Macaca fascicularis: one gene and its partner. The protein of the gene in region 1 interacts with the protein of each later gene in a pairwise test. Links are inferred from orthologs where the notes say so. Each region holds a gene or a part of one and is shown on either strand. Other genes may lie near its edges.

What was found.
Region 2: the proteins of CKS1B (region 1) and MEOX1 interact in binary tests that used the Homo sapiens proteins (3 or more experiments, as listed by UniProt). The two-hybrid records come from large-scale screens. The link is inferred for Macaca fascicularis from reciprocal best matches to the Homo sapiens genes CKS1B and MEOX1.

What each region holds. Positions count from the first base shown.
Region 1 is NC_088375.1:106,165,219-106,176,550, forward strand, and holds CKS1B (cyclin-dependent kinases regulatory subunit 1), read right to left. Parts: upstream 6,979-11,332; 5' UTR 6,914-6,978; coding exon 6,855-6,913; intron 3,429-6,854; coding exon 3,301-3,428; intron 2,684-3,300; coding exon 2,631-2,683; 3' UTR 2,159-2,630; downstream 1-2,158. Other genes in the region: SHC1 (SHC-transforming protein 1), read left to right, coding at 11,121-11,332.
Region 2 is NC_088390.1:64,670,499-64,680,456, reverse strand, and holds the end of MEOX1 (homeobox protein MOX-1), read left to right. Parts: intron 1-3,847; coding exon 3,848-4,020; intron 4,021-5,483; coding exon 5,484-5,606; coding exon of another isoform or gene 5,607-5,629; 3' UTR 5,630-7,119; downstream 7,120-9,958. UniProt on the Homo sapiens protein: Mesodermal transcription factor that plays a key role in somitogenesis and is specifically required for sclerotome development. Required for maintenance of the sclerotome polarity and formation of the cranio-cervical joints.

The DNA.
Region 1 (11,332 bases):
AGACCAGCCTGACCAACATGGAGAAACCCCGTCTCTACTAAAAACACAAAAAATTAGCCGCGCGCGGTGGCGGGCGCCTGTAGTCCCAGCTACTCGGGAGGCTGAGGCAGAAGAATGGTGTGAACCTGGGAGGCGGAGCTTTCAGTAAGCCGAGATTGTGTCACTGCAGTCCAGCCTGGGCGACAGCGAGACTCCATCAAAAAGAAAAAAAAAAACCCTGTGAGATACATATCATGCTAATTTTACAGACGAGGAACAGCCTCAAAAAGGTGAAGGTTTGCCACACAACCGCAAAACACTGTGGATGGTAGATTCAGGTGATCAGACGTCTATACCATTCTTTCAAGTAATAAGCTCCCCCCCCCCTTTTTTTTTTGGAATCAGTCTCTGTTGCTCAGGCTGGAGTGCAGTGACACAAGCACCATTCACTGCAGCCTTGACCTCCTGGGCTCAAGAGATCCTCCCATCTCAGACTCCAGAGTAGCTGGCCCACAGGGGCGCCCCACCATGCCTGGCTAATTTTTGTATTTTTAGTAGAGACGGGGTTTGGTCATGTTGCACAGGCTGGTCTTGAATTCCTGGGCTCAAGTGATTCCCTGCCTTGGCCTCTCAAAGTGTTGGGATTACAGGTGTGAGTCCCCGTACTTGGCCCTCATTTCTTTCAATTATAAAAAGTCAGCTCTTTGAAAAAAAAAAGGGGCAAAACAGGAATTCCACTTGCCTAGTAAACCACATGTTCCAATATCTTTATTAGTAATACAGGTGATATTTGATCCCCTCCCAAAACAGAATACCAAGTCTGTTCCAGTATTTTCCCAGTGGATTCTCAAGCTTAAGTAAGTGTACATCAGAATCAGTCGGAGAGCTTGTGTTAAAACATTGCCCCGGTGCCCAACCCTGGGTTTAGGATTCACTAGGTCTAGGTTGGAGCCCAATAATTTGCATTTCTAATGAGTTTTCCCGATGTTGATGCCTGCTATTTTAGGAATAAGTGGATGGAAGACAGAAAAAATGGGGGAGATTAATATCCTTACTTAGTACTACTACTTTGTTAGACTAAAGGGGAAGTTATTATTCTGTGGAATGCTTTTTTTAATTGAGACAGCTTCTGTCGCCCAGGCTGAGTGCAGTGGCGTGATTTTGACTTACTGCCACCTCTGCCTCTCGGGTTCAAGCGATCCTCTCGCCTCAGTCTCCTGAGTAGCAGGGATTACAGGCACACACCACGCCCAGCTAATTTATTTTTATTTTTTTTGAAGACAGAGTTTCACTCTTGTTGCCCAGGCTGAAGCGCAATGGCGTGATCTTGGCTTACTACAACCTCTGCCTCCCAGGTTCAAGTGATTCTCCTACCTCAGCCTCCCGAGTAGCTGGGATTACAGGCATGTGCCACCACGCCCGGCTAATTTTGTAGTTTTAGTAGAGATGGGGTTTCACCATGTTGGCCAGGCTGGTTTCAAACTCCTGACCTCAAGTGATCTGCCCTCCTTAGCTTCCCAAAGGGTTGAGATTACAGGCATGAGCCACCACGCCCGGCCTGGAATGTTTTCTTAAACAGCTACATTTTGCACCTGTTTTCTCAAAGCTTCCTTCTTTACCTACCTGCATAAGATGCCTGAAATCTTTGCCCCCAGTCCACACTCCAGACCAATTAAGAATCCTTAAGAATGACTCAAGCAGGCATCAGTACTTGTAAAGCTCCCCAGGTGATTCCAATGCCCAACCAAAGTTAAGAACAGCTGAAAACCTCCCCCAACCGAGGGGCACAGTGAATAGGTCATAGGTGTGCCTATTATTCCTATTAGGAATTGGGACACACAAGCATCCTTTTACCCGTGTGTGCCATTCAAATATTGGGACTATGTTAAAGGCAGCACCCCGACTGTAGGAAGCAGTTCATTTGTTTGGATGAGATGAAGTTGTCCCTATATAACCTCTACCTCGGGCCAGTAGTTAGAGTGAAATATGTTTCAGTAGATGTTTGACAGCAAGTCTGCTTAAAGTAGATTAAAAACGAGTTATCTGAATGTTAAAATAAACCTCATTATCAGCAAAGAGCTGAGCTTCATTATCAAACTGAAGGGCATGTAATTAGAACCATGATATTGATGATGCTCACCCTGAGTGAGGGGAAAAAACCCTTACAATTACAGCATTAGATTATAAAAACTTCCTCTTTAATCAAGGCTTTTAACATGAACAGATTTCTTGAATAAAATGGAAAGTTTCCAGTACACTGAAACATAAATCCACAAGTCACCATACATACAACACCCGGCAGGAAAAAAACAAAAACAGCAAGTTTACATGATCTCTGTTAACAGCCATGGTCTCAAACTCAGATGCTTCCTCCATCTGCCAAGTGTGTTCTGGATACAGAGCACATCGTGGCTTCTGGGGTCACACTCAGCTGAGGCTGTGGGTCCACAGAGCACTCATCTGGCTAGACTATGGTGGTGGTGGCTCTACTCAAGAAGCAAAGCAGTTACCAGCACATTCAAACAGTGTATTGAACATCTTTTAAATATCAAAGTGAGAAACAAGAAGGCAACATAATAATATTATCAGAAAGATGTTAGGAAGTAAGGACAGCTGTGTAAAGCTTGAGGCTGAAAAGTAGCTTGCCAGCTTCATTTCTTTGGCTTCTTGGGTAGTGGGCGCCGGAACAGCAAGATGTGAGGTTCTGAAAGAGTGAGGGAAATCTAAGAGACAAGCGCACACCATTCTATGTACAACCTATAGTGTATTCCACTACCATCTTCCCAGCTATCACCCACTCAGATCTTTATAACTAAATAAAGACTTAAGCATATGGCCTTGAGAAGCAGACCCAGAAGTCTGGACTGTCTGCCAAATACAGAATTGTTAATATCAGTTCTTTTGCTATGTTTATACAGCCCCAGGGTGTCCTTTATTAAGTTTTGCCTGGCAGCTGGGTGTCTGGTGCCTTATCAATAAATATACTTTCCTTTGCTTATTTGGAATACATCCAAGAATGTTTTCTGATGGAGAATGAGGCAGGGACTATGACCAGGCTATATGTGGCCTTAAAAAGAATACCCTCTGATTGCATGGAAGATTACAGGAGGTTTTTTAGTGACAGGTTGTCTCTGAACTTCCCAGATATTTTAATCTTATTTTTGGTCACTAGTTTTTTTTTTTTTTTTTTAATCCCCCATGACTAGAGGGGGAAGAAACCAGTAAACTATTTCCTATCTCCCTATTTGGGTTATACAATCTTATTCCTTCATTCTCTCAGTGTAGCAGTTCTATATGGTTGTTTTTAGCCAGTGCACTGACCTGGTTCATGGATCATATAATGGACCCATCCCTGACTCTGCTGAACGCCAAGATTCCTCCATTCAGATTCAGACATCAAATGAGTTTTAGGGACCAGCTTGGCTATGTCCTTGGGCAGCATGACATGTCTGTAACAGAAACGGAGAAGTGACGAATTTGTTAGTACCAGATATAGTCTCAGACAACTGCCTGTTTACAAGGCCAAGAAAGGAAAGAAAAACTAGTTTCTGATGTCAGAGTTTATATAATTTTATTGTGGGGTAGCAGCAGCTAGAAATACAGGCTATGTTATATAAATTCTGAGAGTATATGAAAAATACAAATTAGTGAATAATTCCAGTGAATAAGCACTTAAGTTCCAGGCACATTTTCTCTGCCTTCATGGACCTTATAGTCTTCTAGTTGATTGCCTACAATATAATGGGAGCCCCACGGAGCACACAGTGTTAATAATTAGAAGGAAGGAAGAGAAGTTATTCTGTGGAGAGGAAACGCCTTTTATGGAGTACTGTGTGGACAAGTCATCACAAAGGATGAAATGAAATATCCTTTAAAATCTAAGCCAGGCAGATCGAGACCATCCTGGCTAACACGGTGAAACCCCGTCTCTACTAAAAAATACAAAAAACTAGCCGGGCGAGGTGGCGGGCGCCTATAGTCCCAGCTACTCGGGAGGCTGAGGCAGGAGAATGGCGTGAACCTGGGAGGCGGAGCTTGCAGTGAGCCGAGATCCGGCCACTGCACTCCAGCCTGGGTGACAGAGCGAGACTCCGTCTCAAAAAAAAAAAAAAAAAAAATCTAAGCCAGGCATGGTGGCACATACCTATAGTCCCAGCTACTCGGGAGGCTGAGGCAGGAGAGTAATTTGAACCCAGGAGTTTGACAAAGATACAGTATGAAGTTTGAAATCTTTGATTAAAATACAGAATAGGCCAGGGGCAGTGGCTCATGCCTGTAATCCTAGCATTTTGGGAGGCTGAGGTGGGTGGATCACTTGAGGTCAGGAGTTTGAGACCAGCCTGACCAACAACGTGAAACCCCATCTCTACTAAAAATACAAAAAAAAGAGCCGGGTGTGGTGGCATGCACCTGTAATCCCAGCTATTTGGGAGGCTGAGGCAGGAGAGAATCCCTTGAGTCCAGGAGGCGGAGGTTGTAGTGAGCTGAGATCTGGGCAATAGAGTGAGATTCCATCTCAAAAAAAAGAGAAAAAAAAAAAAAGACAAAAGGGCTGCAGTGCACAATGGTTGTGCCTGTGAATAGCCACTGTACTCCAGTCTGGGCAATAAAGCAAGACCTTGTCTCTTCCAAAAAAAAAAAAAAAAAAAATCTATCCTGAATCTTATCTTCCTAATTCTGGAGGGATGTACCTTGAGACTTTTTTTGGGAAATTCCGTGCTTTTCTAACCAAGGATAAGTCTCCCTTCATGGCAAAGAAATTATTACCCTGATGTGACTCAAACTAATCCAGATAGTCTTCATCATGCTCAGTGAAAATGTACTAAGTTCTCTCTCTGTGCTAGTAACAGTGGTTTCCCCCCCATTCTCCTAAAAGAAAAAATTCTAGTCCAAATATATGAAAACAGCTCACATCCTAACACCACCCTGGCACAAAATTTGGCTTCAATACATAGACCAAAAAACCCCTCTTAAACCAAAATGCCATTGCCAAGTTAAAAGTTTCATCTTCTAGGGGATGAAATGGTGATTCCTTCCCAGCTCTGCAAATCTCTTATAAGCACATACAGTTTTAAGTTAGTTTAGTTCAGATGTAGAGGAAAACAGCTGAGGAAAAGACAGTTAATTATATCAAAGAGGATCTGGAGTCGTCTTGGTATAAAGATGATTATATATGTGTCAATGCACATCGAGTTCTCTGAAGACCTAAAGCCCTGAACTAGGCTGGGTGAAGAGACAAGAAAAGCAAGTTTTCATTTTATGTTCTCCATCTGAGGAGACAAGATAACAAACCAGGAAGTGGTCTTAATTATCACAATGTAGATTAGCATAATGCCAACATTTTGGAGTCCTGTGTCTTCCCTTATTCCCAATCGAGATTATGCACTTGAAATTTATCAAACCCGAATGCTGTATCCAGTGCCAGGATTCCATCATCCCCACCCTTGGCAGATGGCTATCCAGTGTCTTCTAAACAATTTCAGTCAAGAGGTGCTTTCTCCCACATACCTTTTTCTTAGAGTCTCATCTCAGGCTCTGTCCTCTAGGAAGCTTTCCCCAACTTTCCCTCTTCCTTTTTTTTTCCTCTCAGTATTTTAAGTTTCATGTTCAAGGGTACGTGTGCAGGTTTGTTATATAGGTAAACTCCTGACTCGGGGGTTTGGTGTACAGATTCTTTTATGACCCAGGTACTAAGCATAGTACCCGACAGTTTTTTTTTCCCTGAACCTCTCCCTCCTCCCACCCTTCTCCCTCAAGTAGGCCCCAACGTCTATTGTTCCCCTCTTTCTGTCCCAGTGTTCTCATCTCCGACATATAAATGAAAACACGCGTATTTAGTTTACTACTGGTTTCGTTTTCAATGGTGGTGAAAGAGTCATCACACTGAATTGGCCTTTAGGACACTCCCCCGCCCCCACACCAAGCCCAGGGAAGAAGACCGACCGAAAGTAAGAAGTCAGCCTCTAAGGCGGTGGCGGCGGGGGTTCTCGAAGGGTGGGGTGGGGGGGGGTCCTGGAGTTAGCAAAAGTAGGGGACTGACTTTCTAGCCCCACCCCAACACCCGCGCACAGCTAGGAAGCCGCAGCCTTCGGGTCGCCAGTTCCCTCTCCTTATCAAGTCTCGTGTGCTCCCATCACACCCTGTAATGGCTCCTAGCAAAGGGTGTTATCACCTTTCTGGTGTTCGTCGGTATCACTCACAGTTTTAAGTTTGTGAACAGCAGAGACCATGTGTTATCCTTGCACTTTAGCAGAACACCTGAAACCTGTTAAGTATTCCGTAACCGTTTCCTTTGATAAAGGGCATCTATTAGACCCATATTAAGTATTTTCTCAATGCTCCTAGCCAGTTTTATTCCATTTCAGTCCCAAGCGGTCCCTTTCCTAACACAAGCCAGACAACCATGCCCCTTGTCTTTTTCACGAGTTAATAAGCAATATTCAACTCTCTCAGCGCTACTCTCGCATTAGGGACGCGAGGAAACTCCAAGCTCCGCTTTTGCTACGTTCTCCCACTGGATTCCACAGGATTACTGTAAAACTAACAGTTTCTACAAGGCAAGTTAAGTTTGCCCAATAAAGTTCAGAGAATGATCCAGAAACCCTCATGGGTGTGGGTGGTCAGTACTCTAACCACGCCTACCACTCCCTCCTCTCAACTGAGGGCAGACTCCAAATTCGCAACCACTTTATTGTTTTATGAGAGGCTCCCACCTCCGCGCATGCGCCTTACGCCTTCCACCAATATCACACCCTTGCCCGTTCACATCTCGTACGCATGCGCCAATTCTATCGCCTCAGTTCCTGTTACTAATTGCTTGTTTCCTCAGCGGTCAAAGCTCACGACCTCGCTGTTGCCCCCGCGCCAGCACTAACCGATACTCAAACTCCTCGTCGTCGTATTTGTCCGAATAGTAAATCTGTTTGTGCGACATGATCGCTCGGTTTGCTAGCCTTCAGCCCCGCGCCGCCAACCTCCAAGCAACTCCCAGCAGCACGCGCTCCCACCCACTTTGGCCTCGCTTTCAAACACGCCGCCCGCACTTCCTATTGGTCCGTTTGGCTCAAGGCGGGACAGCTGTACTTCCAAGCCTCCGATTGGCTTAGATTTACTTCTCTTGGGTCCTTATTGGAGGGCAGTTCTTACGTTTCTCAAGAACGAGCGTGGGTCGAAAGTAGGCGTCTTATTGGCCACCACTACCTCTGTGCACGATTTCGCGCTGCCATTGGCTAACTCGGGAAAGTGGGAAGCGTGAAGGAGGGACCCTGAGGTAGAGGGTCAGGGGTTAGTGAGGCCGGAAGTGAGTGTAATAAAGTTTCTCCAGGGAGGCAGGGCCCGGGGAGAAAGTTGGAGCGGTAACCTAAGCTGGCAGTGGCGTGATCCGGAACCAAATCGGCCCGCGGTGCGGTGCGGAGACTCCATGAGGCCCTGGTGAGTCTTGACTTTTTTCTCCTTAGGTGACTCACTCTTCCACTCCGGAACCCCTCTCCCGGGACCCCACTTCCGGTCTTCATTTGTAAGTCCCGCCCCTGAGACCCCTCTCCCCGGAAGTCCCACCTCCCAACCTCTGGGGGCTCCCCCGAACCCCGACTTGATTTTTATTTTTTGTCTCCGACCCCACCCTGTAGCCCAGTTTTCCTGGAAGTCCCACCCCCAGACACGTTCCAAGCCCTACTACGTGAAACCCTTGGTTACTCCTTCCATTCTCCGAAACTCCGCCTCCTAGCAACGATCCTCTGCTAACTCCTGTCAAAAAGCCTATCTCCCAAAAGGGCAAAACCCTGCTCCTCAAAGAACGATTCGAATTTGTTGGAGCCACGCCTCTTCGGGGCTCCGCCCCTCCGAAGCCACGCCCTGTTCGTAATCCGTGTCTGACTGTCCAGAAAGCCTCCCCGCATAGAAGTCTGAAGTTCGCGTCCTGGCGGACCACGCCCCCTTACGAGCTTTGTGGGACCTGGGTCATCAGCTGTAAAGCCTTGTCGTCAATCCCTGAAACTCCACCTGCTTATATTTTCCTGTCCTTTGTCTTTTTTTGGGCTTTGGGATCAGTTTTCCGAGCACTCTCGTGCTCCCCCAGGTGGGAAGTCAAAGTTCCTATCTCTGACTGTGAAGAGTGAGATTAAAGGCAGCCGTTTTCCTTTCTTTCTTTTCTTTCTTTCTTTTTGTTTTTTTTGAGACAGAGTTTCGCTCTTGTTGCCCAGGCTAGAGTGCAATGGTGCGATCTCGACTCACCGCAACCTCCGCCTCCTGGGTTCAAGTGATTCTCCTGCCTCAGCCTCCCGAGTAGCTGGGATTATAGGCGCCCGCCACCACGCCCGGCTAATTTTTGTATTTTTAGTAGAGAGGGGGGTTTCACCATGTTGACTAGGCTAGCCTCGAACTCCTGACCTCAGATGATCCACCCGTCTCAGCCTCCTTAAGTGCTGGGATTACAGGCGTGAGCCACCGCGCCCGGCCCCATTTTCCTCTTTCTTAACCTCCTCCAAGGGTAGAACTATTTGAAGGGGCTGAACTTAGGGTTTGGCACCAGAGGGAGAGAGACTTGCTGTCAGACTCCCAGCCTCATCTCCTGGCCTTCCCTTCCCAGGACCAACTCCATCCCAGAAGTAGCTCTAGGCCTGCCTATCCATAAGTGGATAGGACCATGGATTTGTTGGTGTGTGGCATGTGGGTGTGACAGGAGCAAGTTTTCTACCAGAAAAACGGTGGTTTGGAGTGGGGGTAGATAATAGTGCCCTTTTTGTTGTTTGATTTTTTTCTTTTTTTTTTAAGGGACAGTTCAGTTGCTGCTTCTCTGTCTCTTCCCCTCCCCCTAACCATAGTTCTTGTCTGGGCATTCCTCCTGGCCCCGTTTGCCCAGCCTTCCCTGCTGGAAACATTCCTGAGGCTTTCGCCATTTCCTGCCACTTCCCACCCCTCTCCCCTCCTCCCAGTTGGGCTGAGAAGCCACATACAGCTTTTTCCCTACACCCAATCACCTTGACTTCCAGTAGGCAATCTCTTTTCTCCCCATGCACATTTCAACAGTCATACTTCTTTCTTTTCTTTCAAACGCCCACACCCGTTGGTCTTTCCCTGGCCCTGGATACTGCAGGCTCCCACAGAACATCTCAACAGATGAGGACATCCTAGTGTGTGTTTATGTGTTTTGGGGGTGTGAGGCTATAGTGGAATCCTTTCCTCATTCTCTCTATGCCCGAGAGCTGGCTGGAAAAGAAGTGATAAAATTCCTTCTCAGGATTGGCTGACAGAGTGACAAGGCTCTTCTGGAATGAGCACTAAGGGGAGATTTAAGAGTTAAGCACAGTATCTAACACACTTTAAGTGTTAATGTTGTTAATCAGGATAATTATCTATCTATATTTTAATCCTCTGAAGTAAATCTAAGGGCAATTCCAAGGTGAGCTTGGGTGAATACATTTTTTTTTTTTTTTTTTTTGAGGCAGAGTTTTGCTCTTGTCACCCAGGCTGGAGTGCAATGGCACGATCTCAGCTCACTGCAACCTCCACCTCCTGGGTTCAAGCGATTCTCCTGCCTCAGCCTCCCGAGCTGGGATTACAGGTGCTCACCACCACGCCCAGCTAATTTTTGTAGTTTTAGTAGAGACGGGGTTTCACCATGTTGACCAGGCTGGTCTCAATCTTCTGACTTCAGGTGATCCACCCGCCTCGGCCTCCCAAAGTGCTGGGATTACAGGTGTGAGCCACCTTACCCAGCGGGAATATGTATCTTTAACTTGTTTTTTGTTTTTTGGTCGCTTTCCAGCTTTGCCTATGGCATTCTCCAGAAGAGCAGTGGCAGGAAGCCGTGGGTGGCAGGAATGAGTTTGGGACTGTTCCCTGTGTCCAGCTTCAACCCATCTTCTCCTGACACCCCTTTCTCCTGTGCTTACTTGTTTTTTCTCCTGTTCTTATTGACACAGATGTGTCTTCTGATCTCTCTGTCCCTTCCTGGCCTGTCGTTTCTGCTTCTCTTGGAGAACTGTTTCTTCCACCTCCTCCAGCCAGGCTCCTCCCCTGGTGTGAGGGACACTGTGCTGTTTGGTGGGGCTTTGGGTCCTGTAAGAGGAGGGATATGAATTGGGGTGGTTTGGAGTGGGAGTGGGGACCTGATTGCCTCATTCTCACCCTTGACAGTGTGCTGTGTTAACAAGGCCTGTGGAAAGGGGAGAGGACAGTGCTTGGCTATGAGCCATGGGTCTTGGTGTGGTAGATGGCATACATAGAGAACAAGCCGTGACCAGCATGTCCTCTTGTTCCCCTCTTGCCTGGTAGCTTCCTGATGTACCATCCAGGTTGGACTTTATTCCCCTTTTTTCACCAACTTTGCTTCTCCTCTTGACCCTGCTCTGCATCCATTGGGACCACTTCCTTCCCATCCCCACTTCGCTAGCTCCAGTCCACAGCTGTCGTAGCAGAGGATGCTAATGGCCCAGGCTTACTGTATGGGGTAGTGGTTGGGGGTGGCCTGGGCTGGAGGGTGGGGAATTCGAGTGTCCAACCAGAACAGGAAGGGAAATGCTGAGCTCTGAGATCTCCTCCCTTTTCCACCCGCAGCTGCCTCTGTTTCCTCCCTCATTCCCCTCTACTCTAGCCTGGCTTCCTGCCCCCTTTGGCCTGCCTGTGTCCGGTTTCGAGTGACCCAGACCTCCTATCTCCTTTCTTTCCATCCAACTCCTCCATGCTTCCCTCCCACCCCCACTTTCCTTCTCCCCAGATTACTAGTTGTTTGTGTAGGGCAGGGGAGAGGAGCTTGGATAGCCCTACCCTCTGCTCCAGTCCGAGGTTGGGGCGGGGTGGGGGCTCAGCCCCTCTGAGCCTGTGAGTCAGCACTGTCCTCGTGATTGGTCTCTCCCTTTAGCTCTCCGCCCCTGGGGAGGAGCCAGGCAGCTCTGGGTCCAGCCTGTTCTCTTCTCAGCCAGAGAAGAGGCTCCACGTTGGGCGGGGATGGGGCCCGAAACTGTCTGGGTCTGAGCTGGGGAGCGGAAGCCACTTGTCCCTCTCCCTCCCCAGGACTTCTGTGACTCCTGGGCCACAGAGGTCCGACCAGGCTAAGGGCCTGGGAATACCCCCTGCCTGGCCCCCTTGCCCAAACTGGCAGGGGGGCCAGGCCGGGCAGCAGCCCCTCTCTCACCTCAGCTATGGATCTCCTGCCCCCCAAGCCCAAGTACAATCCACTCCGGAATGAGTCTCTGTCATCGCTGGAGGAGGGGGCTTCAGGGTCCACCCCCCCGGAGGAGCTGCCTTCCCCATCAGCTTCATCCCTGGGGCCCATCCTGCCTCCTCTGCCTGGGGACGATAGTCCCACTACTCTGTGCTCCTTCTTCCCCCGGATGAGCAACCTGAGGCTGGC
Region 2 (9,958 bases), on another chromosome or scaffold:
CTGGGCACACTCAGAAGCCTTCAAGAAGCGCAGCTGTTTCTATCCTAGCCCTTCAGTGTCATCTCGTGGAACTGATAAATTGGAGAATATATTTGTCCAGCATTTTTAGATTTTTTTTTTCTTTTTTGAGAGGGAGTTTTGTTCTTGTTGCCCAGACTGGAGAGCAATGGCGCAATCTGGGCTCAATGCAACCTCCGGTTTCCAGGTTCTAGCGATTCTCCTGCCTCTGCCTCCCGAGTAGCTGGGATTACAGGCATGCACCACCACACTGGGCTAATTTTTTTTGTTTGTTTGTATTTTTAGTAGAGACGGTGTTTCTCCGTGTTGGTCAGGCTGGTCGCGAACTCCCGACCTCAGGTGATCCACCCACCTCGGCTTCCCAAAATGCTGGGATTACAGGCGTGAGCCACCGCTCGTGGCTTTTTTTTTTTTTTTTTTTTTTTTTTTTTTATGATGTATTCTCACTCTGTCACCCAGGCTGGAGTGCAGTGGTGCAATCTCGGCTCACTGCAACCTCCGCCTTCTGGGTTCAAGTGATTCTCCTGCCTCAGCCTCCAGAGTAGCTGGGATTACAGGTGCCCGTCACCACGCCCGGCTAGTTTTTGTATTTTTAGTAGAGACGGGGTTTCACCATGTTGCCCAGGCTGGTCTTGAACTCCTGACCTCAGGTCATCCGCCTGCCTTGGCCTCCTAAAGTGCTGGGATTACAGGCGTGAGCCGCCACTTTTCAACTTTAATAGCATTTTGCACACACATATTAACGCGTTCAGTCTTCCAATAACCCTAGGAGGTAGGTGAAATTGTTTTCCTCAATTTCTTAATGAGGAGACCGACACCCAGAGAAGTTAAGTGATTTCCTCAGTCTCCAGCAAGGAGATTCAGGATTCAAGCCTCTGAGCAAGTCCTCTGGGCCATCCACTCCCCGCAACCGTGGAAAGGAAGGGCTGGGAAACACTGAGCCTCGGGACAGGAGGAGATTGGGAAACCAGTCCCCGACCGCGCCCGTCGTCTAAGCCCAGGTTTCCTGCCTCTCTCCAGGCCCGAGGGCCGGGCTGTGCTACAGGAAGCCCGTCATCCGCTTGTGAACGACCCTCCCGGGCCTGCTGCCAGGAGGGAGCGCGGGACTGGCGGCGGCCAAGGCCGGAGGGCTCCTCGGGGACCCCGGCCCGGGGCTGCGCGTCCTTCCCTCCAGCCCACGCTCCCGCTTCCGGAGGGGTCTGGACCTGCCTTCTCCGGCCTGGAGCTAGAGGCCGCCGGGCAGGCAGCCCGCGCCGGGAACTCGGCCCCCTGCCCTGCTTCCCGGGCGCGCCCCGCGGGCGGCCAACCCGGTTCGGACGCGGACCCCCGGGCCAGGGCGCCACGACACCCCTGACCCAGGCACCGGGACTATCAGGCACCGGGACTATCAGGCCCCTCCCCCGCTTTCTCGGGTTCCCGGAACGGCGGCACCCACTCCCCTTCCATGCCTCGGCGGGGGCCGGGAACGCGCAAAGCGAGGTTGGCCGGGCCAAGTGCCCAAATCACTTTACCGCGCGCGTACTGCTAGAGAGCAGCCCAGCCCGAGGCAGACGGGCGCGGAGGCGGAGGACGCGGAAACTGAAATACAAAGGGATTGAGTGGAAAGCAATAGAGGGAGGTGCTGGGAGGGGAACCAGCTAGGCTCAAAGCTCCAAAGCGGATAGCCGGGTTAATGTGGGGTTTCTGCCTCGCCACCCACTCCCAATGCGGCTGCTTAGCCGACTGCGTAGGCGGCTTCTCTGCATTACACTAGCTGGTCTGAATTCCCCAGCCCAGCCGCCCAGGTAGCTTAAACCCGGCCTCTGAAAACACCGGATCCCTCTTTCCAACACTCCTCTCCAGCAAGGCAGAGATGGGTCTTTCAGGGAGCAGGAAGTTGGGGCGCAGGTTTCGGTAAAGCACCTCACTCGGAGCCACGGTTTCCGTGTCTAAAATTACAATGGGCCGGGCGCGGTGACTTACGCCTGTAATCCCAGCATTTTGGGAGGCCGAGGTGGGCGGATCACGAGGTCAGGAGATAGACAGCATCCTGGCTAACACGGTGAAACCCCGTCTCTACTAAAAATACAAAAAAAAAAAAAAAAAAAAAAAAAAAAAAAAAAATTAGCCGGGCGTGGTGGCAAGCACTTGTAGTCCCAGCTACTCGGGAGGCTGAGGCAGGAGTATGACGTGAACCCGGGAGGAGGAGCTTGCAGTGAGCCGAGCGAGACTCCGTCTCAAAAACAAAAGAAAAAGGAGGACAATGAAGCCAACGACTTTTAAATGTTAAAGCCGCGCACGCATGGCTCCTGCAGCCATTCCCTGGCCATGTGGCATGCATCGCGAGTTAATTGTGTAGGTGTGTGGTCTTCTTCCCACCTCCTCTCCACCCACCACCTCCATTCATTAAAGTGAAGGTAGAGCTGCCTCCCACCCGTCTGCTCAAGAGATAACCATGCAACCCCTTTTATTTGTTCAGGACTTTATCGTTTGTAAGCCCTTCCTATATATATATATATATATATATATATATTTTTTTTTTTTTTTTTTTTTTTTTTTTTTTTTCCCCAAGACGGAGCCTTGCTCTGTCGCCCAGGCTGGAGTGCAATGGCGTGATCTCGGCTCACTGCAGCCTCCGCCTCCTGGGTTCAAGCGATTCTCTTGCCTCAGCCTCCCAAGAAGCTGGGATTACAGGCGCGTGCCACCATGCCCAGCTAACTTTTTGTGTTTTTAGTAGAGACGGGGTTTCACCATGTTGACCAGGCTGGTCTCGAACTCCTGACCTCGTGATCCGCCCACCTTGGCCTCCCAAAGTGCTAGGATTACAGGCGTGAGCCACCGCGCCTGGCCCCTACATATTTTTCATTTGAACAATATGTGTATGTCAAATCGCCTGAATTTGATTCTTGTCTCCCACACCCCCTGGCTGAATAAACTTGGACAATTTGCTTAACTTCTCTGTGTTCATTTTCTGGTCCATAAAGTGAGACTAATACTAGAACCACTTGGTTGGGCTATTGAGGATTAAGAGGCTAATATATGTCAGGTACAGCACCTGGCACAGAGTGTGTTCCCTGACCCTGTTGACAGTTATGACTGAGCCCCACTGAATCTAACATGCAACCTCCTTCAGAGGGGTCCAGATGGTTTTCCAGATTTGGCCCTCTGGGGCAGATTCTGATTCGGTAGGTAGGTATGGGGCAGGCCTGAGATCCTTCAGATCTGAACAGCTCCCTGGTGCTGCTGATGCTGCTGGCACCCAGGCACTCCTTTGAGTGATGAGGTCTTAGAGCGGCGGACTTAAACAGCACCAGAGGCATCTGGAGGGTTTGCAAAAATAGACTGCTGAGCGCCATCCCCAGAGTTTCTGACTCAGTAGGTCTGGAGTGAGACTAGGATTTGCATTCCTAACAATCTCTCAAGTAATGCTGATGCTGCTGATCTGAGGACCATAGTTTGAGGCTTTGTTTTAGAGCATCTCACCCCTCAAGCCTATGACCACAAGTAATGTCATACTGGGGGGTGGGCTGGGGAGTAGAGATCATTAAACAGCCAAGAGTAGCTTCTTGTGCTTTGGGAATAAAAGAAAGTTCCGGGAGGAGGGGCAGGGGACAGCCAAAAAAAAAAAAAAAAAAAAAAAAAAAAAAAAAAAAAAAAAAAAAAAAAACCTTCCCAGTTCTAATATGGGTAAGACACCAGAAGGAATAAAAAGGACAGTGTAGCTTTTTTCTCAGCATCCTGTAAAATTAAGGGAGAGTGGGAAAGACTGCCTAGTTGCTCAAGGGCAAAAGAAAGGGAATGGAATCTCCTTCAGCCCATGTCTTCCTGTTTTGGGGTCCTCTCTCCCCAGACAACCAAGAGAACAGAGGGAAGCCGGAGGGCAGCAGCAAGGCCCGCAAGGAGAGGACGGCCTTCACCAAGGAGCAGCTGCGAGAGCTGGAGGCGGAATTTGCCCATCATAACTACCTGACTCGGCTCCGCAGATACGAGATCGCGGTAAACCTGGACCTCTCTGAGCGCCAGGTGCGCCCCCAGCGGCCCCTCCTCTTATTTGCTCTCCCATCTCCCTCCCTTCCCTCCTTTCCCACCACCACTCCCTTCACCTTCTTTTTCTTCCTCCAGCCAGTCCAGTGGTTTTCAACTGTGGCCATACCTGAGAATAGCCTGGGGAGTTTTGGGTTTTTTTGTTTTTTGTTTTTTGTCTTTTGAGACGGAGTCTCGCTCTGTCACCCAGGCTGGAGTGCAGTGGTGCGTTCTCAGCTCACTGTAACCTCCACCTCCTGGCTTCAAGAAATTCTCCTGCCTTAGCCTCCTGAGTAGCTGGGACTACTGGCATGCGCCATCACGCCTGGCTAATTTTTGTCTTCTTTTTTAGTAGAGGCGGGGTTTCACAATGTTGACCAGGATGGTCTCAAACTCCTGACCTCAGGTGATCCGCCCTCCTCGGCCTCCTAAAGTGCTGGGATTACAGGCGTGAGCTACCATGCCCAACCCCTGGGGAGATTTTAATAGTGCTGATGTCTGGGCTCTACCCCTAGGGATGATTTTAATTGGCCTGGGATGGGATACAGGCCTCAGAATTTTTCAAAGGCCCCCTAGGTGATTCTCATATGCAGTTAGGTTGGGAGCTCTGGTCTGGCTATTCCCAAACTTGAGTATATGTTGGAATCCTCTAAGGCACTTGTTCAAAATATGGATTCCAGAGGTCTGGAGAGAGATTTTACCATAATGAGTGGGCCTGAGAATCTGTATTTCTAGTATGTTCTCTAGGCGATCTGGATATGCAGCTGGTTCCTGGGCACACTTTGAGAAAAACTTCCCTGGCCCTTTGTTTTGGACTTTCCCTTCAGCCACCCCACACCCCCACACCCAGGCTCTGATATGGAATAATAGTAATAATAACAGTAATATTTGATAGCAGATTTCAGTTGATAGAGCGCTCTGCTAGAGGGCTGGATTTTGAATCAGAAGACTTAGATTCAAGTCCTGCCTCTATCACTTCTTCTAGCCCTGGGACCTCTGGGTCTCTATCTGTAAAATGGGACCATAATCCTGCAGGTAATACTCAAGCTTAGATGAGAAAATGTGCTGACCAGAGCTATCTAAACCAAAAAGTTCTCTATAAATGTGCCTAAGGATAAGGCTGATGACCTCTGCTCCCAGACCCTTGGGGAATGGAGGTAGGGCGCAGGGGGACCTGGCACAGGTGGGGCAGGGCATGTGAAGAGGGTGGGGCCAATGCAGAGTGTTTTTAGAACATGTTCCCCTGTCTGGGGCTTTATCCCAAGACACAAGACAGACCTCTGGGCAGATTGGTGTGTCCTCTCTTTGGTCTTAGTTCCTGGGGCGTTTGGGGAGTAGAGAGTGGTAAGTGATGGTTTCAAGCTGGGGTCCCTGGAGTTACACCCTGGCTAGCCTGAGCATTGACATGGGAAGGAGGTCACACCAGCCCTGGAGTGCCCAGGCTCCTTTGCTTCCTCCCCTAGGTCAAAGTGTGGTTCCAGAACCGAAGGATGAAGTGGAAGCGTGTGAAGGGAGGTCAGCCCATCTCCCCCAATGGGCAGGACCCCGAGGATGGGGACTCTGCAGCCTCTCCAAGTTCAGAGTGAGATTCTGCGTGGAGGAAAAATGACTAAGGACTGAGCCCCCTACCCAACTACCCCCACCCCAATGCCACCTTTACCCTCTTCCTTCCCCAGCCGGGGCAGCCTCTCCACATCTTTCACTGACTCTTAGATATGAAACTGCCCAGCATTCCTGGGAGTCTTAGAGTTGTCCAGGAAGTTCTATCCAACCTCTTAGCAGCCTCTTCCCTAGGGCCTTTGCTCCCACACTCTCATGGAATCAGACAGAGATCCTACCAGGCCGGATGAATCTGGAAACAGCTTCAGAGACACTGCTTCTCAGGGTCTCTTGGCTGCCACCCATGCCTCCTCCTACTGCCGTTCTCCTGTGTCAGCCAGGCCTCCTTCTGGTCTGGACACCACCTGGCCTGGTGGGAGAGACGCTTTGGAACCAGCTGGCGACTCGGATAGTAAATGCTTCAAAAGGAAGGAAATGATGGAGACACACGCCCTTGCCCACCTTCCTCTATGGGCTGTACATCTGAGGCTTTGGGGCCCCTTAGTTGTCCCCAAACCCCAAGAAAAATCAGAATGTGGAGAGTCAAGGACAGCAACTCAGCTGCTGCAAGCCAGAAACCCATCCCTATCTCCAAATTTGTTGGCTAAGTGGGGACACTTATAAGCACTGACTAGAGAAGACAGAAAAATAGCCTCATGTAGGTTTCTGTGTCCCCATATAGGCCCGTCCACACAGGCTTGACTGGGTGGACAAGAATGAACCCATGACAGCACCTGCTGCTTCAAAATCAAAATCAATTTAGGGATATAGCAGGGGCTGTTGGGCTGTGCTCCAGAGAAAAGGAGCAGCTACTCCCTTTAAATCCACGATTTGTGGATTGAAAACCTCTCCAGATGCCCAGTTGCTGGGCTGAACAACTATGGGCTGGAAACAACATAGAGTCTAGAAAGTGTCCCCTACATTCTGGAGGGGAGGGGAGATAATAAGGAGGGCTCGGATGAGGGCCTGGAGATGCGGAACCCTGGCATAGAAGGTTCTCTAGCTACAGTGTCCTGTGACTGCAAAGGGGGACGAGAAAATCCCTTTTCCTCCATGGCATGGATTTAAGCTCTTGCTGTGTGTTCTACAAATGCTGTTATTGTGGGAGGAAATGCTAGGTTTTTGTGTGTGGACTGCCCAGACCTCAGCCAGGTCTTCTGGAGATGCCACTTGAGGACTGCTGGCCAAAGAGCATGAGGGACTGAAGCCCTGGCTGCCTCAGCGCTCTGTCTCCCAACACCAGCTGGTGTTGCAGAGGGAGGTCAACGTGAGTTTGGATCTCTTGTACGCAGATGTAATCATTCACATGTAACCCCACCTCTCCACCCCAAAAAGGGCAAGAGCTGTGGAAAATGATTGCCAAATGAGATGGCTGGTTAGAGCATGATTTTTTCTAAAGCATACTTCATGTATTTTCTTAAGATTACATCAAACTAATTGTGCAAGGTCAATTCACTTTGTAAGAAAACTCTTGGAGAAATAAAATCAATAAAAAGCAAAGTTCCCAGGCCTTTTTCTTTGCAGAGCGAACAACAACAGCTCTTGTGTGCAACCTTCTGATTGACCAGACAATGTCTAGAAGCAAGAGAAAACGGCAAGAAATGATCTAGACAGAGCTGTCCCCCTTTAGTTTTTCAAAAGGTAGGTACCAAATATAATTGTTGCCCCCAAATTTTTTTTTCTCCCATGCAAATGCATGGTCTTCATTTCTCATTGTAAAAGTTTAGCTTTCAGTTTCCCTAAACTATGACCTATCAAATAGTCAATGTTTTGTAAACAAAACATTGTTAATAGAGTAATCTTGACCACAAAGTAACCATTCCCAATGTTTAAATTCAAAGTTTGGAGATTTTATTTTTCAAGGTAGAAAAGTGTATATTAATAGTAGTAAAAATGACATAAGAAAAAATATCCCATATTCTCTGTCTTTTTTTTTTTTTTTTTTTTTTTTTTTTGAGACAGAGTTTCACTCTTGTTGCCCAGGCTGGGACGCAATGTCACCATCTTGGCTCACTGCAACCTCCACCTCCTGGGTTCAAGTGATTCTCCTGCCTCAGCCTCCTGAGTAGCTAGAATTACAGGCATGCGCCATCACGCCCAGCTAATTTTTGTATTTTTAGTAGAGATGGGGTTTCTCCATGCTGGCCAGTCTGGTCTCCAGCTCCTGACCTCAGGTGATCCACCTGCATCTGTGTCCCAAAGTGCTGGGATTATAGGCATGAGCCACCACACCTGGCCTCTATGTCCTTTTTTTCTTTTCTTTTCTTTTTTTGAGACAGAGTCTCACTCTGTCGCCCGGGCTGGAATGTAGTGCCATCTCGGCTCACTGTCACTGCAAGCTCTGCCTCAGCCTCCTGAGTAGCTGGGACTACAGGTGCCCGCCACCATGCCTGGCTAATTTTTTTGTATTTTTAGTAGAGACTGGGTTTCGCCATGTTAGCCAGGATGGTCTCAATCTTCTGACCTTGTGATCCACCTGCCTTGGCCTCCCAAAATGCTGAGATTACAGGCATGAGCCACTGCACCTGGCCCTATGTCTTTTTAACTAAAATACAATTTGTCTCACCAAGATATCAACAATGGACAAAACAGGACTGGCTACGGGGAGGTGAGAGAGGGAGGCAGTAGAGGAGACCTGGCCAGAATCTTGCATTGATGCAGCCTGGGCCAGGTGTGGGCAGTGCCTGGAAGTGACATCAGCAGGAGCTGGAATCAGGCAGACCTACCAAAATCAAGGTGCCAAACAGAGGTGGGTTCAGTGGCTCAGGTTCAGGTTCACAGCCAAGCAACATAGACACGCTCAGTCACCCCCATCTACCCTCCTGCTGGAAACTCAACTCCGTGGCTTCAGGGGACATCATCCTCTTCTGGCTTTCCTCATCTGTCCTAGATGTTCCTTCTCTGTCCCTCATGTAGGCCCATTTCTCGACGCTTCTGCTCTCATGGCTGGTTTTCAAGGTTTTCTCTTTCTACCACCACCTTCCCTATTTTTCAGTCTCTCCCCAGATGATCCCATCCACCTACTTTTTTTGTTTGTTTTTGTCTTTTGAAACAGTCTCGCTCTGTCGCCCAGGCTGGAGTGCAGTGACACGATCTCAGCTCACCGCAAACTCTGCCTCCTGGGTTCAAGCGATTCTCCCGCCTCAGCCTCCTGAGTAGCTGGGATCTGGCTAATTTTTGTATTTTTAGTAGAGACAGGGTTTCACCATGTTGGTCAGGTTTGTCTCAAACTCCTGACCTCAGGTGATCCTCCCGCCTCGGCCTCCCAGAGTGCTGGGATTACAGGCATGAGCCACCTCGCCTGGCCTACATTTTTTTAAATTGTTGTAAAATACACTAACATAAAATAAAAGTTATCATGTTAACCATTTTGAAGTGCACAGTTCCGTGGCATTAAGCATTTTCTCATTGTTGTGCAACCACTGCCACTATCCATCTCCAGAACGTTTTCATCTTCCCAAACTGAAACCCTGTGCCTATGGACTACTAATCCCTATCCCCTCTCCTCCATTCACCTACATTTACATAGCATTTGTGCCATATTGAGCACTGTTCTGCTTTACATGTACAAACTAAGTGAATTCTCTTAGCCATCCTAAGAGGTAGTACTACTGTAATTCCCATTTCACACATGAGGTAACCAAGGCGGAGAGAAGCTGAGTAAACTCCCGAGATTTTATGTGATTAGTGTTTGGGGTGGATTGTATTATTTGGCCCAGGTATCTTCTTCCCTCTCCACTGGGGAAATGCTTCCCTGATCATTGCCATATGATACACCTGCCGTGGTAAGGGCACACTTCCTCGCCTAATTGACATCAGCTTGTCCTTGTGGCCTGCTTTGGCCAATAGAATGTGAGCAGAAGGACATGTGTTGTATCCAAGCAGAAGCTTTACAGGTCATCACACTGCTGTGCTCCTGCTCTTTTCCCTCTGTACAAGGCTGAAATGGAGGTTCCCTGGGTTCCAGAAGGAGAAAAACATGGAACTGGCCTCCAGAAGGAGAAAAATGTAGAACAAAGGTAAAGCTGACCCCACAGCCTTCATAGATGTCAATGAGGATATAAACATTTGTTGTTGTAAGCCAATGATTTGTGGGTCATTTGTCACTGCCACACCAGCTCGTAAAAACTGACCACTCCAGTGATGAAGCTGGGTTTGGAATTGAGTCATTCTGGCCCCAGGCCACCACTTCCTATGCCTGATCTGGGTCCCTGAGCTTTTATATTCTGCTGCCTACTGCCCTTTGCCACCTAGGATGACTATAAGCATCTCAAACTCCCATATCTGAAGGGGAAATCACCATTCCTGGAATTTGGTGAGCACCACTGCCTGCATTCTG